Linked DNA regions of Nothobranchius furzeri. The protein of the gene in region 1 purifies or fractionates together with the protein of each later gene. This does not show direct contact. Links are inferred from orthologs where the notes say so. Each region holds a gene or a part of one and is shown in the gene's direction. Other genes may lie near its edges. The genes, in order: prdx5, sod1, park7 and prdx1.

Evidence for each region.
Region 2: the proteins of prdx5 (region 1) and sod1 fractionate together in Homo sapiens (co-fractionation; 3 studies listed by BioGRID and IntAct, with this or other methods). This does not show direct contact. The link is inferred for Nothobranchius furzeri from reciprocal best matches to the Homo sapiens genes PRDX5 and SOD1.
Region 3: the proteins of prdx5 (region 1) and park7 fractionate together in Homo sapiens (co-fractionation; 3 studies listed by BioGRID). This does not show direct contact. The link is inferred for Nothobranchius furzeri from reciprocal best matches to the Homo sapiens genes PRDX5 and PARK7.
Region 4: the proteins of prdx5 (region 1) and prdx1 fractionate together in Homo sapiens (co-fractionation; 3 studies listed by BioGRID). This does not show direct contact. The link is inferred for Nothobranchius furzeri from reciprocal best matches to the Homo sapiens genes PRDX5 and PRDX1.

Annotation. Positions count from the first base shown.
Region 1 is NC_091750.1:53,604,232-53,608,547, reverse strand, and holds the start of prdx5 (peroxiredoxin-5, mitochondrial), read left to right. Parts: upstream 1-1,509; 5' UTR 1,510-1,815; coding exon 1,816-1,827; intron 1,828-3,176; coding exon 3,177-3,311; intron 3,312-3,399; coding exon 3,400-3,531; intron 3,532-3,666; coding exon 3,667-3,705; intron 3,706-3,792; coding exon 3,793-3,857; intron 3,858-4,135; coding exon 4,136-4,241; 3' UTR 4,242-4,316. UniProt on the Homo sapiens protein: Thiol-specific peroxidase that catalyzes the reduction of hydrogen peroxide and organic hydroperoxides to water and alcohols, respectively.
Region 2 is NC_091750.1:63,537,645-63,541,321, forward strand, and holds sod1 (superoxide dismutase [Cu-Zn]), read left to right. Parts: upstream 1-1,196; 5' UTR 1,197-1,275; coding exon 1,276-1,347; intron 1,348-2,152; coding exon 2,153-2,249; intron 2,250-2,382; coding exon 2,383-2,452; intron 2,453-2,576; coding exon 2,577-2,691; intron 2,692-2,810; coding exon 2,811-2,918; 3' UTR 2,919-3,148; downstream 3,149-3,677. UniProt on the Homo sapiens protein: Destroys radicals which are normally produced within the cells and which are toxic to biological systems.
Region 3 is NC_091743.1:63,722,260-63,725,319, reverse strand, and holds the end of park7 (Parkinson disease protein 7 homolog), read left to right. Parts: intron 1-1,629; coding exon 1,630-1,716; intron 1,717-2,054; coding exon 2,055-2,215; 3' UTR 2,216-2,494; downstream 2,495-3,060. UniProt on the Homo sapiens protein: Multifunctional protein with controversial molecular function which plays an important role in cell protection against oxidative stress and cell death acting as oxidative stress sensor and redox-sensitive chaperone and protease.
Region 4 is NC_091751.1:68,306,452-68,310,479, reverse strand, and holds the start of prdx1 (peroxiredoxin-1), read left to right. Parts: upstream 1-1,227; 5' UTR 1,228-1,374; intron 1,375-3,943; exon of another isoform or gene 3,944-3,981; 5' UTR 3,982-4,016; coding exon 4,017-4,028. UniProt on the Homo sapiens protein: Thiol-specific peroxidase that catalyzes the reduction of hydrogen peroxide and organic hydroperoxides to water and alcohols, respectively.

The DNA of each region.
Region 1 (4,316 bases):
ATTCTATTTTTTACCGAACTGAGTTTTTTTGACGTTGCTTTATTTTGTGTGTGATCCTGGCTGTAAATTTCTGTGTAGGCTTTTTTTTTCATTTAGATGAAGCCATTTGATGTCCTTGTCTAAACTTGTTCACATTAAATTCACTGTGAAAAAAGTGAAATCTTCCGCTGTCTGGTGGAACAGGGAGTGGATCCTGTAGGTGCTTTGTGCTGTGTAATAAATGGACACACCGCCACATGTCAGTGGGCTCATCAATACGTGTACATTTATGTGTTTGTGTTGTATTTTTACATTTGAATACGGTCATGACCACATATCACCTCTGGACGTTGCTTTGAATTTGAAACAAATGTGTAAAATGTTTAGTTTGTGTCAAGAAGCTAAAAAGTTCCATAGTTACTAAAATGTAACTGCTATTTTATAAAAGAAACTGAAATCTGAAAAGTTGGAAGTAAAAAAGACAGACATTTCTGAGGGAAACATAACGGGTGTAGTCCAATTAGAGATCACACTTGTGTGAATAATGGTCCAGTACCATGTCTGTAAAAGAAACTGAATGGAACAGAAAATAACTATTTTCTCAGATCAAACAAGTTTTAACTCAACAGTGGGAAAAAATGACTTTTGTAAACTTACAACAGATCATTTGACTTGGAGCTTATTTTATCTATCCCGCAAGTTTCTGTGAAGCCCTCTTTCTGCCACTTCAAAAAGACACGGTCAATTATTTTTTATTCATGATTTTAAATAAAATCACTGAGTCATTACTATAAGCATCAAAATCACATTTGTGATTCAACACTATTATGAGATGCACTAATAATTATTACAAGATGCATTATGGCTGTCATAATTATTAGACAAAATGATTACTTTCAAAATCAATGAGGAGGTTATTCTGAAAATAGTCATAAGTATTGCATAAAAAGTAACAATTATGAATTTGAAAATAAGTTGTAAAACATTCACATTTAGTTCATATAAATTTATTACTTTCCTGACCATAAACTTCTATGTTATATTTATTACAATAGTCATAATTTCTAATAAAAATTAATGAATAATAAATATTAATTTAGAAATATTAAAAAATGATTAGATACAAAGCCTGTGGTGTAGTTGTAAACCCGATTTTTGAGATAAAAAATTATAACTAGGATTTTCAAACTCAAAACTATGATTGTTTACAACCATACAAATATTCCATTTACAATAGAATTGCTTTGATATAGTCCTTTAACATTAATCAGAGTTGGTCAAAATAGGTATTTACTTATCGGAGCTGTACCAAACCCAAATCTGTGCACGTCTGATAACAATAATAATAATCAAACACATACATTTTATCGCGTAAGAGTGAGTTTAGTGATACACATGACTTAAAATCATAATAATTGACTTTGCTTATCAGATACCACGTGACCGTGTTGGTAAAGGGCTTCCGTAGTTTCCCTTGCGTTTCTTACAGAAGTCTGCAAAAGCCCTTGCAAGTGTATGTTGTCTTAAATCAACAATTGTTCCGTTTTATGCCCCCTTTAGCTAAACCAGTCCAGCCAGACCTTGGGTTTCCTGCTTAGCAGATGGCACAGTAAATAAAGACTTAGCCATCAGTTTGCAGGATAAATTTAAGTCCTTCCGTTCTAGCTCAAAGTAGGACGTCGCTGCTGTGTCTCAAGAGATAGCGAGTGAGTCAGACGTCGCTAAACACCAGGGACTAGCTTAGCTCCACATTCCAGCAGGTTATGCTCTTCATCACAAACTCTCTTCTAAAAAACATATAGTATCCGGCTGCTGCACTTCTCTCCAGTCACCAAAATGCCGATTCAGGTAAAAAAAAATAAGCTAACGTTAGCTAGTTGGTTTGTCCTTCGAGCATTCGGCAACGGTTTATCTTCATTATGTTTGTATCTGTAGCAGTCTATGCTAATGAGCCGCCATGACAGCAGTTTGCATGAATTTAGTTTATTGTTTGATTAAATCATAGTAGCAGCTCGTCGTGATTTGAGCACACCTCTTTCACCTATATCACTGAGTTGACTTTACATTTGATAAGATCTGTGCCATCACTCTTTTATAACATTGTTCTAAATTATTGCTGCGCATGTTGCAATTTTACTCCCTGAAAGTGTTCGGACTAAGTGTGTAAAGGAGAAATTGTAATGTTAATCCGTAATGGTAACATCTCTTCACGGTGAAATTTGAATTATTTATTGAAAAGTTTGTAAAACAGGCGTTCATGTTATTTTATGCAAATTTTCATTTATGGTGATTTTTGCCATCTAGTGGCCATTTTACAGAAACGCTCATTTTTTTTGCTTTATCTAAATTTCAGTTTACACTAGAGCTGGACGATACAGAAAAAAAAGGTGTATCGATAAAAAATATTATTGATCGATATCAATAATTATTGAAAACTATATGAGAAATGTAGAAAATATATTTAAGTGCAGCCCTGACCATTTTATGTAATCACTTAACAATAAAACAAGTTGGTTGCGTTATCAGACTTGGTTTTTATTGATTCTCTGCACATTTTGCAAACCACTGTTGTTTGTTTTTTTGTCAGACTTGTAAGAATGAAAATATTGCCACACTGGTGAACTATTGTAATCTTTTTTGGGACAATTTCTTCCACCTCTCCTTGCTGCAACATCTCCTCACATTGCTGTCTGATTAGGTTTGTAAGGGGAGGGCTTGGTGATGAAGTGTGCTTGGGTCTGTGCTTTTGATCAGTTGGGTGCAAGGAATAACTAGTATGAAGCTACCCGATAGGCTATAATGGAAAAAACAAACTTTTTCAATTTTTTTCTGTTGAATCACACGTCTATTGATCGATATATATCGTTATCGAATAATTGTCCAGAACTAGTTTACACACAGTTGTTATTATGTTCTCTTTCTGGTTAATTTATCTTATAAAAATACATTTCTTCTTACATTCTGTTATTGAAATTTTTTATCTCTGATTCTGTTTTTTGCTATTGGTTTCTGCAAACATTTGATGTTTCAGTTCAGTGTTGCAAAAAAGGGATTTGCACCTGTACATGTTCCTTCTATTTTTTTTTAACTATTAATTCAAAGTTTTTCATAAACAAAAAAGTTTCATCAAGTTATTTCCAGAATTTCATTCACTGTGACATTAGGAAAATAAGTAACTTCATCTCATTCATCTTCAGGTTGGTGAATCTCTTCCTGCGCTGGAGGTCCAGGAGGGTGAGCCTGGGAATAAAGTGGCAATGGATCAACTCTTTAAGGGGAAAAAGGGGATTCTTTTTGCCGTGCCGGGAGCTTTTACTCCTGGCTGCTCTAAGGTGAAGCAACACTAAAAACGCTGCATGTCCCAACCTCTACGGTGAGTTTTGCATCAGCTGACTTTGTATTTCATGTGTTGCTTTTCAGACTCACCTCCCAGGTTTTGTGCAGCAAGCTGAGGACTTAAGAGGTAAAGGGATCCAGGAGATAGCATGCATTTCTGTCAATGATGCATTTGTCATGGCTGCATGGGGAAAAGAGCACGGAACAGACGGCAAGGTATAAGCTGCAAATTTACATTTAGCATCTATTGCAGAAAAATCTACATGTTGATAAGACTTGTATTTTTAAAGTAATTTAAAATTCACATTTATATAACAGATTTAGAAAAATTTTGATTGCTTTTATGTACAGGTTCGAATGCTGGCTGATCCCACTGGAGCATTTACAAAAGTAAAAATGAAAAGATCATGTGTTTGTCAGGTTAGCATCAAGCCTCGTGACTCTGTTCTCATCAGCACTTTTGTTTCTGCTCACTAGGCAGTCGACCTTGTTCTTGACAGTGATCAGATTGTGCAGGTACTGGGTAACAAGCGTTCCAAGAGGTAAGAAAAGACTGTAACATGAGTTTGGAGCTTTATTTTTCAGCTAAAGGTTTTCACAAATCACTTGAACAAGAGTGTGGTGTCGGATATTAACCAGGAGTATTTGCACCTCTGCTACTTAGCTTTTTTCATGGTGCAGAGTTCAGTGATAACATCAGTATTTGCATAACAGCTTGAGGACAGAGTGTCCTGTGTTTATTATTTTGAAGCCACCTATTTGCAGATATTTTAAATGTCATAAATTGTATTCCAAATCCAGTGTGCTCTTTGTTTTTCAGATATGCAATGCTGGTGGAAGATGGGGTTGTGAAGAAGATCAACGTGGAGCCGGATGGCACTGGACTGACCTGTAGTCTCTCCTCCAACATTCTAACTCTGCTGTAGGCTTATGCTGAGCTTATTAAACCAAAATTACTGACCTTGAGTTGTAGTGAAAGTTGCACCAATAAAGCTTGCCTT
Region 2 (3,677 bases), about 9.9 Mb from region 1:
CAAACTAAATTCTGAGAAAAGAATACAAGTCAGTTATTTTTCTGCATAAGTAGTGTAAAAAATTCAAATAACTTTAAAAATACGGTACAAATTAATCAAGACTCGCTTAGTCCAGAGGGCCAGTTCCGTTCTTGGAGCCCCTCTGGACCCAGTGGAGGTGGTGACTGAGCGGAGAATGGTGGCCAAGCTATCTTCTCTGATGGATAACATCTCCCACCCCATGCACTGGACTCTGGCAGCACTGAATAGCTCTTTCACTAGCAGGTTGCTGCATCCACACCGCTGAGGGAAAGGTTCAGAAGACCATTTCTCCCAGCAGCGGTTAAGCCCCATTCCCACCTGTACCGGGTCGGCCCGGGCCGGGTAGCCCCAGTCGGCCCCAGCCTGGCCCGGTTGATTCCACACATCCTTGCCTTAAGCCCATGTGGGCTGATTCTACCCACCAATCAGAGGCTTGCTCTAATGGAAGGTGTGAATGGGTTGATTCTACCCACCAATCAGAGGCTTGCTCTAATGGAAGGTGTGAATTTGCTGTCAGCAGTGGGTGTGTTGGCCCTGGTCGGCCTGAAGCAGTACCCCTCGGGAAGAGGGCCGAGAATGAGCCTTGGTTGGCCCGGGAAAATTCCAGGCCACCCAGATATGTAAACAACCTATGCTACCCGGCCCGGGCCGACCCGGTACAGGTGGGAATGGGGCTTTAGATTTTATGAGGCCATTGCAGCTGGCTGTTGAATGAGGAAGATTGTGGTTTTCTCTTGTTAGTTTTTTTTAATATTACTGTTTTTTTTTTAAATAAAATTATGTTTTTTTTAATCTTACCTGCTTTTCTGACTGTACTGTCGATGCTGCAACGATGAAATTTCTCAAGTGTAGGACTAATAAAGGTATTATCTATCTATATCTATCTATCCATCTATCCATCTATCTATCTATCTATCTATCTATCTATCTATCTATCTAACTATCTATCTATCGCAGTCACTAAAAAAGAGTAATTTCAATATTTATAATTATTTTGTATGTTTTACAATCATACGAGATTTAATCAACTATAAACTAAGCTTATTAATAAATAACATTTAAAGAACGAAACTGCCAAAACATGAACGCAGACAAATGTGTTGATCATCGACATATATGCGTGCTTCCTGCCAGCCAATTAAACCACGCGTTTTCTCATTGGCTATCACTGAATTAACCCGCCCACTTGAGACGTTCTTATGTGACTCTCGAGGGGGCACGTGACGCGATAGTTACTCGTGAGTTGCTGCAAAGATGGTGGTGAAAGCTGTGTGTGTGTTGAAGGGAGCTGACAAAACAGCCGGGACCGTTCACTTTGAGCAAGAGGTAAGATGTCACAGTATGCACGAAGTGAACGAGGTTGTAGTCCGCGAAGAGGACATAAAATTCAACTTAATTAAACACTATACGGATGCCGTAGTTGTCTTGTGCTAAGCTAGCTAACATAAGTATGTCATCCATTTTTAGAGGAGCTCTTGACTAACTTGGCAGTTAGCGACATATTTACACCTCAGACTTTCAGATAGTGGAATATTTGATACATCTGCTCTGATTTTCTTAGTTTATAAAACAATTCATATGCAATTAGATAACTAGTTGCTCAACGAACCGTAGAAATGTTAGGTGCGCGTGCAGCAAGTTCTAGATAACACTTTGAATTCAAACATTTCTACTCGTGCTGGCACGACGTGGCTGTCGTGGTTGAAATGGAAAAATGTTTAGTTAAAATATAACCTTTAACCTTTTATAGTCTGCAGAATGGTAATAATTAACAGTGGACACGCTTGTTGCGTAATTTTCAGTCGTCTCACCAACGGTAATGTTGACTTCAGTGACCCCAGGAGGGATCTCTCACCACAGTCACTCATAATTCCTGTTTTTAGCAGCTTCTTCTTCTTTTGTCATCACAAAGCAGCTCGGAGACATCGCTGCACAGAGGCAGCCATTAAAGTCAAAACAAACACGATTTCCTCCCTAAAATTCTGCTGAGTCACTCTCTACCGTCTGACCATGACGTATCTAAACTTTTCTGTAGTATTTTTATTCCTGCCTGCAAAGTTCTTTGACTTTTTTCTGTTATACGTGCGTGATAATATTTACTTACATTATCATGACCGCCTGTGTCCCCTAGAATGAATCGGCCCCTGTTAAAGTGACTGGGGAAATCAGTGGCCTTGCTGATGGTGAACATGGTTTCCACGTCCATGTATATGGGGATAACACAAATGGTGAGAAATTGCATGTTTTTCCACATTTCCCCCCAAATTTTCAGTTAACTGTTAACATTTCCTATCTAGGTGCACTTGCTTGCTGTCATAAAAGCTTCCCAGAGTTGTAATATTTACCTTTACTTATTACCAGGTTGCATTAGCGCGGGGCCTCACTTCAATCCTTTTGACAAGAATCACGGCGGTCCTGCAGATGAAGAAAGGCGAGTCCCTCATGAGAAGCTGGATCACTTTTACCTATTCACTTATTTGTATTTGATATGCTTTTGTTTTTATAAAGTTTGACTGTAATATATTATAATCTGATACAATTTTTTTTTTTATCAGACATGTTGGAGACCTGGGGAATGTGACTGCTGAAGGGAATGTTGCCAAGATAAACATCACAGACAGCGTCATCAAACTCTCAGGACCTCTCTCAATCATTGGTCGAACCATGGTGGTACGTCTTCATCTGGGCTTGTGATCCTCCCTTTTTGTTTAATTTTATTTTTTTTAAGGATTTTAGTCTAAATTTGTCCCCAATAAAAATGTAGCTTATGTAAAACTACTTATTTTTAGATCCACGAGAAGCGTGACGATCTAGGAAAAGGAGGAAACGAAGAAAGCCTGAAGACTGGAAATGCTGGAGCTCGTCTAGCCTGTGGCGTTATTGGCATCGCCCAGTAAATCTGCAATGTAAAAGCACTGGATAAGCTATATTCCCCAAGAGACCAACACGGCTACTTAATGAAACGGTCCAGTTCGGTACTTTGTGGCGTTCTGTTAACCTGTTTTCTGCCCAGTTTCCTTTCTAATTAAATTGTTTGAGTAGGTTTATGTCCACTGACTAGGACTCAAGACTTTGTAGCGCACAAACTTCCAGATGTGTTATTAAAAAACATAAATGCCTCAAATGATGTAAATAGTCTTGTGTTTTTTTTAACCCTTTGCTGCATAATGGTCACTACAGTGGACAGATATTCAAAATTATTTATTTTTTGCTATTAAGCACAGCTGTTGTAGATTTTATTGCATTGAGCCCCTCATTTGGACTTCAGTAAGCCAAGCCAACATATTTTATGTTCAGAATGCACGCTGTCCACTGAGTTGGACATGTAATAAATTATTTGTAAATTAACAATATTACTATTTGCTGAAATTTGTTTCATTCACACCTAAAGATGAAACAATGTTTAAAAAATCATGGTTGAAGATTTCATAATTCATTCATCAAAGGGTTAAATTAGATTTTGATGGATTATTCCTCAAAGCTCAGAGCAGGAGTCCTAATTTAGTTTAGATATTAAGCTATCCAAAGTCCTACCAAAGCAAATACTTTTGTTTAGCAATGTTCAAAAAATTTATTCAGTAATATTTCTGACAAAATTGGCTAATTATGCAAAAAATTTGCCAAATTACAGAATCGAACCTGCTCTTGCATGAATA
Region 3 (3,060 bases), on another chromosome or scaffold:
GCTAAACTTGACAAAAAACTTTGTGGCTGTGCTGTCACGCTGTAACTCGGTAGTTAATATCGCAATGTGGTGCAGCCTTACTTTCTGATATAGAGACAACAAAAGACTTGAGCGTGAAACAATGATTTTCAGTTCAGAAATATTAGCAAATGGAGACAGAAGATGTTCCTCTGACAGTAAGCTGATGGGGCCACTAGCGAGTCACCATAACAGACCATCAGCATACCTGTATGTCTCCCATTAACCTGAGCAACTCCACTGTTTCTAACCCTTTTTCTTGCCTGCTTCCCGTATTAGTAATTTGAAGAAAAATTTCCCATTATGTTCATTCTGAATTAGCCGCAGAAATAAAAATAGATGGGGGAATACTCGGACCAGAAAAAGCCACACAGATTTACGTCATTTTGGAAATTTGCATTCATTAATTCATCCCTTATGGCTGCCGACTGGAAGGCTGTATTGATCTTGCAGCAAAAAAAAGCGGAGTGTGTCTCGGCTTGTTGACGCTAACTATTAGCAAGTACACAACATGTTTGGGCTTGTGTTATTTGTGGAAATAAAACATTAATGTGGCATTTTTACCCAAGAAAGGAGTGAACGGAGGCAGCAGAATAGTCGCAAGGCATTCAAACCATAACTCTTTGTCACCTGAGAATTTAATATTGAAAAATACTTCACTCTCTTCTTGCAACACTTTTTAGGTTGAACCCTCCTTGTCATTCTGCGTGAAAGGTTGTGTACTTGATTGTGTCCCTGAGTAAACCCGCACCCTCTGTATTTGACAGCTTTCATAAGCAGAGAAAGGACACATGAAATACAGTTGAAATGGGGTCAGGGAACCAGTGCAGCAAAGCAGATTGAAAGGTGTCCTAGAAACGAGTGAAAACCTCACAGGAATATTCTCTTAAATGGAAACGGCAAGCGTGCTCGCTGCAAGACTCATTGTTCCGACATCTTAACCTGGCACGTTTTCAACTAGATTCCTCAGAACTGCAATCTTGTTCCTCAGTGTTCAAATAGTAAAAACGTGGTATTCGTCTTGTTTTTTCTCCACCGTCTGACTCTTTCGTGTCCCTAACTGGGTGGAGACTCGTAACAGGAGTCGTTTAGCTTTGAATGGCAGTCTGTTGTTCTGCCAGAGGAAAGTGTAATCTTGAGACTGCACTGGAAGGCAGCCAAAGGAGTGTGATCAATAACTTTCTATTTATTAACAGGTTTTGGACGAGCAGTGCGGAGACGTCACCAAAGTTAATTCAGCAGCAATCGTCTGCGTCCTCTGCCTCTCCTTATTTCTTTTCTCTAACGTGTTGCAGATGCTTTAGCAAAAACCTGAAACTGTACACTTTGTGAGTTTATTATTAGAACCAACAATAGGGTTGAGGACACTTTTAGGACACAAGTGTTATCAGATATTTTCTATGTGTCTCATTCATTTATTATTTACTGAAATCCATAATCTAAATATGCAACATTCGGTGGAATTTCATACATCTGTTTTTCTCTGTGCTGAGCTTAAGGAGGAGATACTTCCAGTTAGCAGCCTTTTGTCTTTTTCACTATGAAAAGAAAATGTGTGTTATCTAACAGGAGGTTATAAAAGAAACCTTAATCTGCTTCGCACTTCTTCAGGCCCTACTGCTCTCCTGGCCCATGGCGTCGGCTACGGCCGCACAGTAACCACACATCCTGCCATGAAGGAGAAGATGATGGCTGGAGGTAAAAATCAATAAATATTAGAGCATCTTTTAAATAAACTATTACAGCTATCAGTGGGAGAGTTTGTAAGTGTTGGTGAAAAGCAGCAGATGGTGCTGTAATAGCTTTTAGTTGCCTTCGGAGAATCATGTCAGCAGCAGTTGGAGAGCACCGCCCGCCGCTCTGAGGTGAGAGTGGGTGCAGGATTTTGACAGAACGTGTAAGAACCAGGTCTATTTAAATGTTGACTAGTTATCTTTGTGCGGATGTGTTTGGAGGACTTATTAGATCTGAAATGCGTTGCTGCTAGCTTTTGGATCTCCATCATCCTTATGGTATTGCTCTTTGTCTTTTTTTAGACCACTATAAATATTCAGAGGCTCGAGTGCAGAAGGATGGACATTACATCACCAGCCGTGGGCCAGGAACCAGCTTTGAGTTTGCCCTGGCCATTGTGGAAGAAGTTTTGGGGGGTGACTTTGCAGCTCAAGTCAAAGCTCCTCTTATTATGAAAGACTAATTTATTTACAACTGTGCTAAAAGCACTGCCTGATTAACAAAAAACCCACAATACCCGAGTCAGGTCTTCTGCCACTGGACATGAAAGTGAAACATTTTCTTAACTAGACATGAGGATTTCTTTTCTAACATGTTTTGTTTTAAAATGTCAAATGCACCTTATTACAGTAAGATGGGTACTAAAGGAAAATCTGAAATAAAACAACTATTTTCACGAATTACTTGATTGTTTTGACCGCTACTGTTGTGCCACCTGAAAATAAAGCAATCTGAAGTTGCAGGTCATTGTTTTTATTTCACCTAAATATAGGCTGCTGAACAGCAGGAACGCGGGAAGACGAGTCCAGAAAGATTGGCAGCTTTTATGACCAATGAAGAGCTTCGGCTCGTCTGCAGTTGAGTTGTAATTGACCAATTACGTGTCGTGTTAGCCAGTGGGCGGTGTTTGGTAATCAGCGCGTGGTGTGTCCGAAAATCCAGACGGTCCTCATCACAGACAAGAAGAAAGACCAAGAGAAGGGATTTTGTAGAAAGGTAGGACTGTTGGGGTTTCTCTTTTACTCACAGACGTGAATGCGTGGCTTAGTACCCGCACCTCTTTCCCGCATTAGTTATTAGATAAACCTGCTGCCAGTTATTGTTAACGCGGCGGTAGTCACGGTCAAATAAACAAACCACATGGTTCGTCGCACCGCACCAATCTGCATATGTGCGTTGTCATTAGTGGGGGAGTGTTTCCGCAACAGGGCTAGTTTAGCCGAGATTAGCTCGCAGAGTGTCGAGCGTAAAGTTCGCTGCAGTCTCCAACAGACTGGATTGACAGTACCCCGACGAAGAGATTGTTGC
Region 4 (4,028 bases), on another chromosome or scaffold:
AAAGGTACAGAACCAAATTATTTAATTAATTAGCTGTGCGTTCTCCTGTCCTCTGTCCTCCGGGCCACACACACACACACACACGGAGCTGACTGTCTCAGCTGTTATTTTCGTTAAGGAGTGTGCACGTACAGCATGCACGCCTTGTGCACGAGCCTTCTATTGAAGCTGCCATTACGCTTTTGGCCTGAGGGGGCAATCGTGAGCATAAAAATTCAAAACTCCGTAAAGTCCCTTTAAACAGAAGAGTGAGAAAAAAATTCACCCCCCTCAGAGTTGTCATGAGTGTAAACTAGATCATTTAAACCAAAAACATGTTCTGGTACCAGGCTGTAAACATGTTTATTTCTGCTGTGAAATTGGTATTTTTAACATGGGAGTCAATGAGGAATTGCTCGCTTCTGACACCAGCCCCTAGTGGATGAGGGTGGAACTGCATTTTTTGGTACTTCTGGGTTGGACTCAATTTTTGAGCCGCATTGTGGGGGCTTGGTACCAAGAAGGTTCCTGGGGGCACCAGGTTGGTGATTCTGTTCTAGATGATAGATAGACACCACCAGCAGCTTAAAACGTAGCTGGTAGTGTTAAAACTGGTCTATTCATTTCTCCAACTGGTAATATCACCTCAGTCAATGTAGCACTTTCACTTACGCCATCGATCAGCTGTTTTTATCTGTGTCCTAAGGTGTTTCAACAGTGTGACACTTCCTCTTTTCAAAAAACTGCTCCACCGAAAAGACTGATGTTCCCTGTTTCAGTAAATAAACGAGAGGAAAGAGGAAATGAGAAACGAACAGACTATGTTCTTGAGAAAATGGTTTCACCGAAGTATCATGTAGTTATTGTCTAATGATGGCCTAAATCTACAAAGATAAAAAATATATTTCCCTAAAGTGAAATTTCTCAGTCATCGCGGCAGAGGGCTCACAGAGAAACGCATATATTACACGAGTCACTCATGACCCACTGGTCTCTGACAGTGGCATGGATGTTTTATTCATTGATGATTCTGGATATAATCTGTTCGGTCATATGAAGGAAAAGAGCAGCAAGGAGGAACATAACCAAAACCAGTTCTCTTCAATTGTAATAAAATCAGTTTCCTTAAACGTGGAGTCTGAAATAAAACTCATTCTTCCTCCACGTGTCTGGTTTGGAGTTTCACAAGAGCATTTACAGAATAGCGATAAGGAAAATGCAAAGTCATTCTACGTTGTGTGGACCTGAGGAGGATGGATGGAGAAGTGATCCGAGCTAGAGTTCTCGTTCTCCCTCTCATCTCGCGAGACGTTGGCGGTGGTATAAAAGTCTGCGTCGAGCCTCTCGGGTCGTGTACTACTCGTTGTCCGTGGAGGCTTTGGTTTCTTATCTCAGGTATGTGCCATAAAACGTTCGGTTTTAGGAGTTTGTCTTTCTTATAGATTAGTTTTTAGAATGTAAGGCGTTAAATTAGTGTCTGAAGTGACATTTTGGTTCAACAAGTGGTTTTTTTCCCCCTTGTCTAATTCTCAAATCTCCTGCTACTCGTTTGGAAAACTCAAGTGTTCACGTTTAAAGGCAGCTTCTCTAGGCTAAAGGCAAAGTTAACGTAAATCTGTGGCTTTCACCGCCATAGTCGTACGTTCCAGCACCGTAATGAACACCTTGTTCGTGACTAAAAGGTGAATACGGAAACACCTGAAGTGGAAGTGCTGCTGGTAACCTGGCCTGACCTCATGCTTTTACATCATATAGGTTATGGAAGTATTTACTTTAATCCCTTTTGAATCCACAGCATAAGATCTAAAAAGTTGGAAGAATCATTAATTAAATTTAAAAGCGACGCCTCCAGTGTTTATGGCTTATGTTTACAGGACAGAAAGATTATTTATGAGCGAATTTTCAAAAGATTTATTGGTTCTATTTTAGCAGTCAATAGTTAAACAGAAAAAAATTATCATGTGAATGTGTGTGTGAATGGGTGAATGACTGATTGTGTTGTAAAGCGCCTTGGGGGGTAGAAATGCCATTAACACTGGAGGCGTCTCAAGATAAAAATCACGAGGCGCTTCACAAGAACAAAAATTGTAAAAATATAAAAAAGCATTTAGAAAATGTTTAAAATATATTTAAAATGAGCAAAAATAGGCAATTGTGATTAAAAAATGTTAAGAGAGAGAGTGAACAGGAAAGAGGGAAACCAGTGGATCCTGAGGAAGGTGGAATAGGTGGGGAGAGCAGAATAAAGAGAGAGTGGTGAAGAAGGTCATACAAAAGCCAGCTTGAACAAGTGAGTCTTCAGCTGCTTTTTAAAGGAGACCACTGAGTCCACTGATCTCAGGCTCAGGGGGAGAGAGGTCCAGAGTCTGGGGGCCACAGCAGCAGATGATCTGTCACCTTTGACCTTTAGCCTGGTGCTGCACAACCAGTAGGCTTTGATCACTGGACCTCAGGGACCTGCTGGGGGTGTAGGGACTAAGAAGATCACCAATGTAAGATGGTGCTTGTCCATGTAAGGCCCTGTAGACCAGAACCAGGATCTTGAAATGAACCCTGAAGTTGACTGGCAGCCAGTGAAGCTGGAGGAGAAGCGGGGGGATGTGGGTGTGTTTGGAGGACTTGGTCAGAAGCCGAGCACAGGCGTTCTGAACCACCTGTAGACGGTTCAGGGAGGTTCGTGGAAGGCGCTATATCAAATACAGGCCATTTACCATTTGAGTAAAATAATGACCTGGTTTTGTGGGTTGGCTCAGATCCCAGACCTGTCAGTGCAACTCTGATTCCAAGTAGGGATGAGCGAGTACACCACTATCTGTATCTGTACTCGGAATGGGCGTGGCATAACCCGGAAGTGGGTGTGGTTTACATCAATATATTATTTTAAGTTTGAAATTGATATGGAATGATCAGAAGTTGCTATGTGTATTGTTTATTTGAAAACTATTTACAGAGCAGCCTCAGACTAGAGATTAAATATTTTTGATCACAATAGTAAAGGAACTATTACAAAACAAGTGTTTCAATAAAATCAGAACATTAATATTTAAGTGCATGGATTAATACATCTGAACTCATGCAGCAGGAACTAGGAAATATGAAATGCTAGAACCAGACACAACTTTATGTATATTTTTAATTTAATTTGATTAAACTGATTTTTTTCTTAATGTTCTTGGCATTTTCCCACACAAAGTTAAACAAAACAATGTTGATTAAGGTGTGTGTGTCTGAGAGAGATTGAGAGGGAGAGAGATGGAGGGAGTTAAAAATTTTTTAAAAAAACCCGTAGTGAGTGACTGATGCAGCACGTCAGCTCTGTCTTGTCAAATGCACCATGGAAGTTACGAAAAAAGTAACTTTAAATATTCAACCGAAAAAGAGGCGAGCTGAAGAAAACCTAGGGAAAACTGAAGAAACGTGAGCAACAGTGAAGCAAGCACAGCGAGATCCGTTACTGTCTGTGTGTGTGTGTGTGTGGATGAGCCGGACGGACTGTGCTCCCGGCCGGCTAGAGAGTTGTGTGTAGGGAGGGGCGGGCGCTCTATGTGACAGGCCAATCAGAGTGTGAAGACAGTCAGTTACCCAATGAGGATTTTCCTTCAGCACGATTACAGATATTTACGAGGTTTACTCGTCTCATGCTCGTATTCGTCAAAAATGCTTTATCCGTACCGGATACTCGTCTGAAACTAGTATCCGGCTCATCCCTAATTCCAAGTTAACCAAATATACTTATCAGAATATAATTTCTGCCTAATCTGAAAACGTTTCACATGGAAGATCTGTTGCTGCTAGATTAGAGCTTTGCTTGGATAATTGATGGCTTTCATCAAACAGCCCATCTCCGTCATCATTCTGATCATCATTTAAGGTGTCTGCTCATCTGTTTAGTGTTTTTGTAACATTACACAACTAGATCGGTGGTTTACATGTGATACAGTTGTCTACAAATGGTTCAGTACCAGCTCTAAGTCTGATGGAGCCTTTGTTTTGTAAACGCAGCCGTTTCCTTCTGGTGTAATCCCGTCTGACTGAAGATGGCTGCAGGT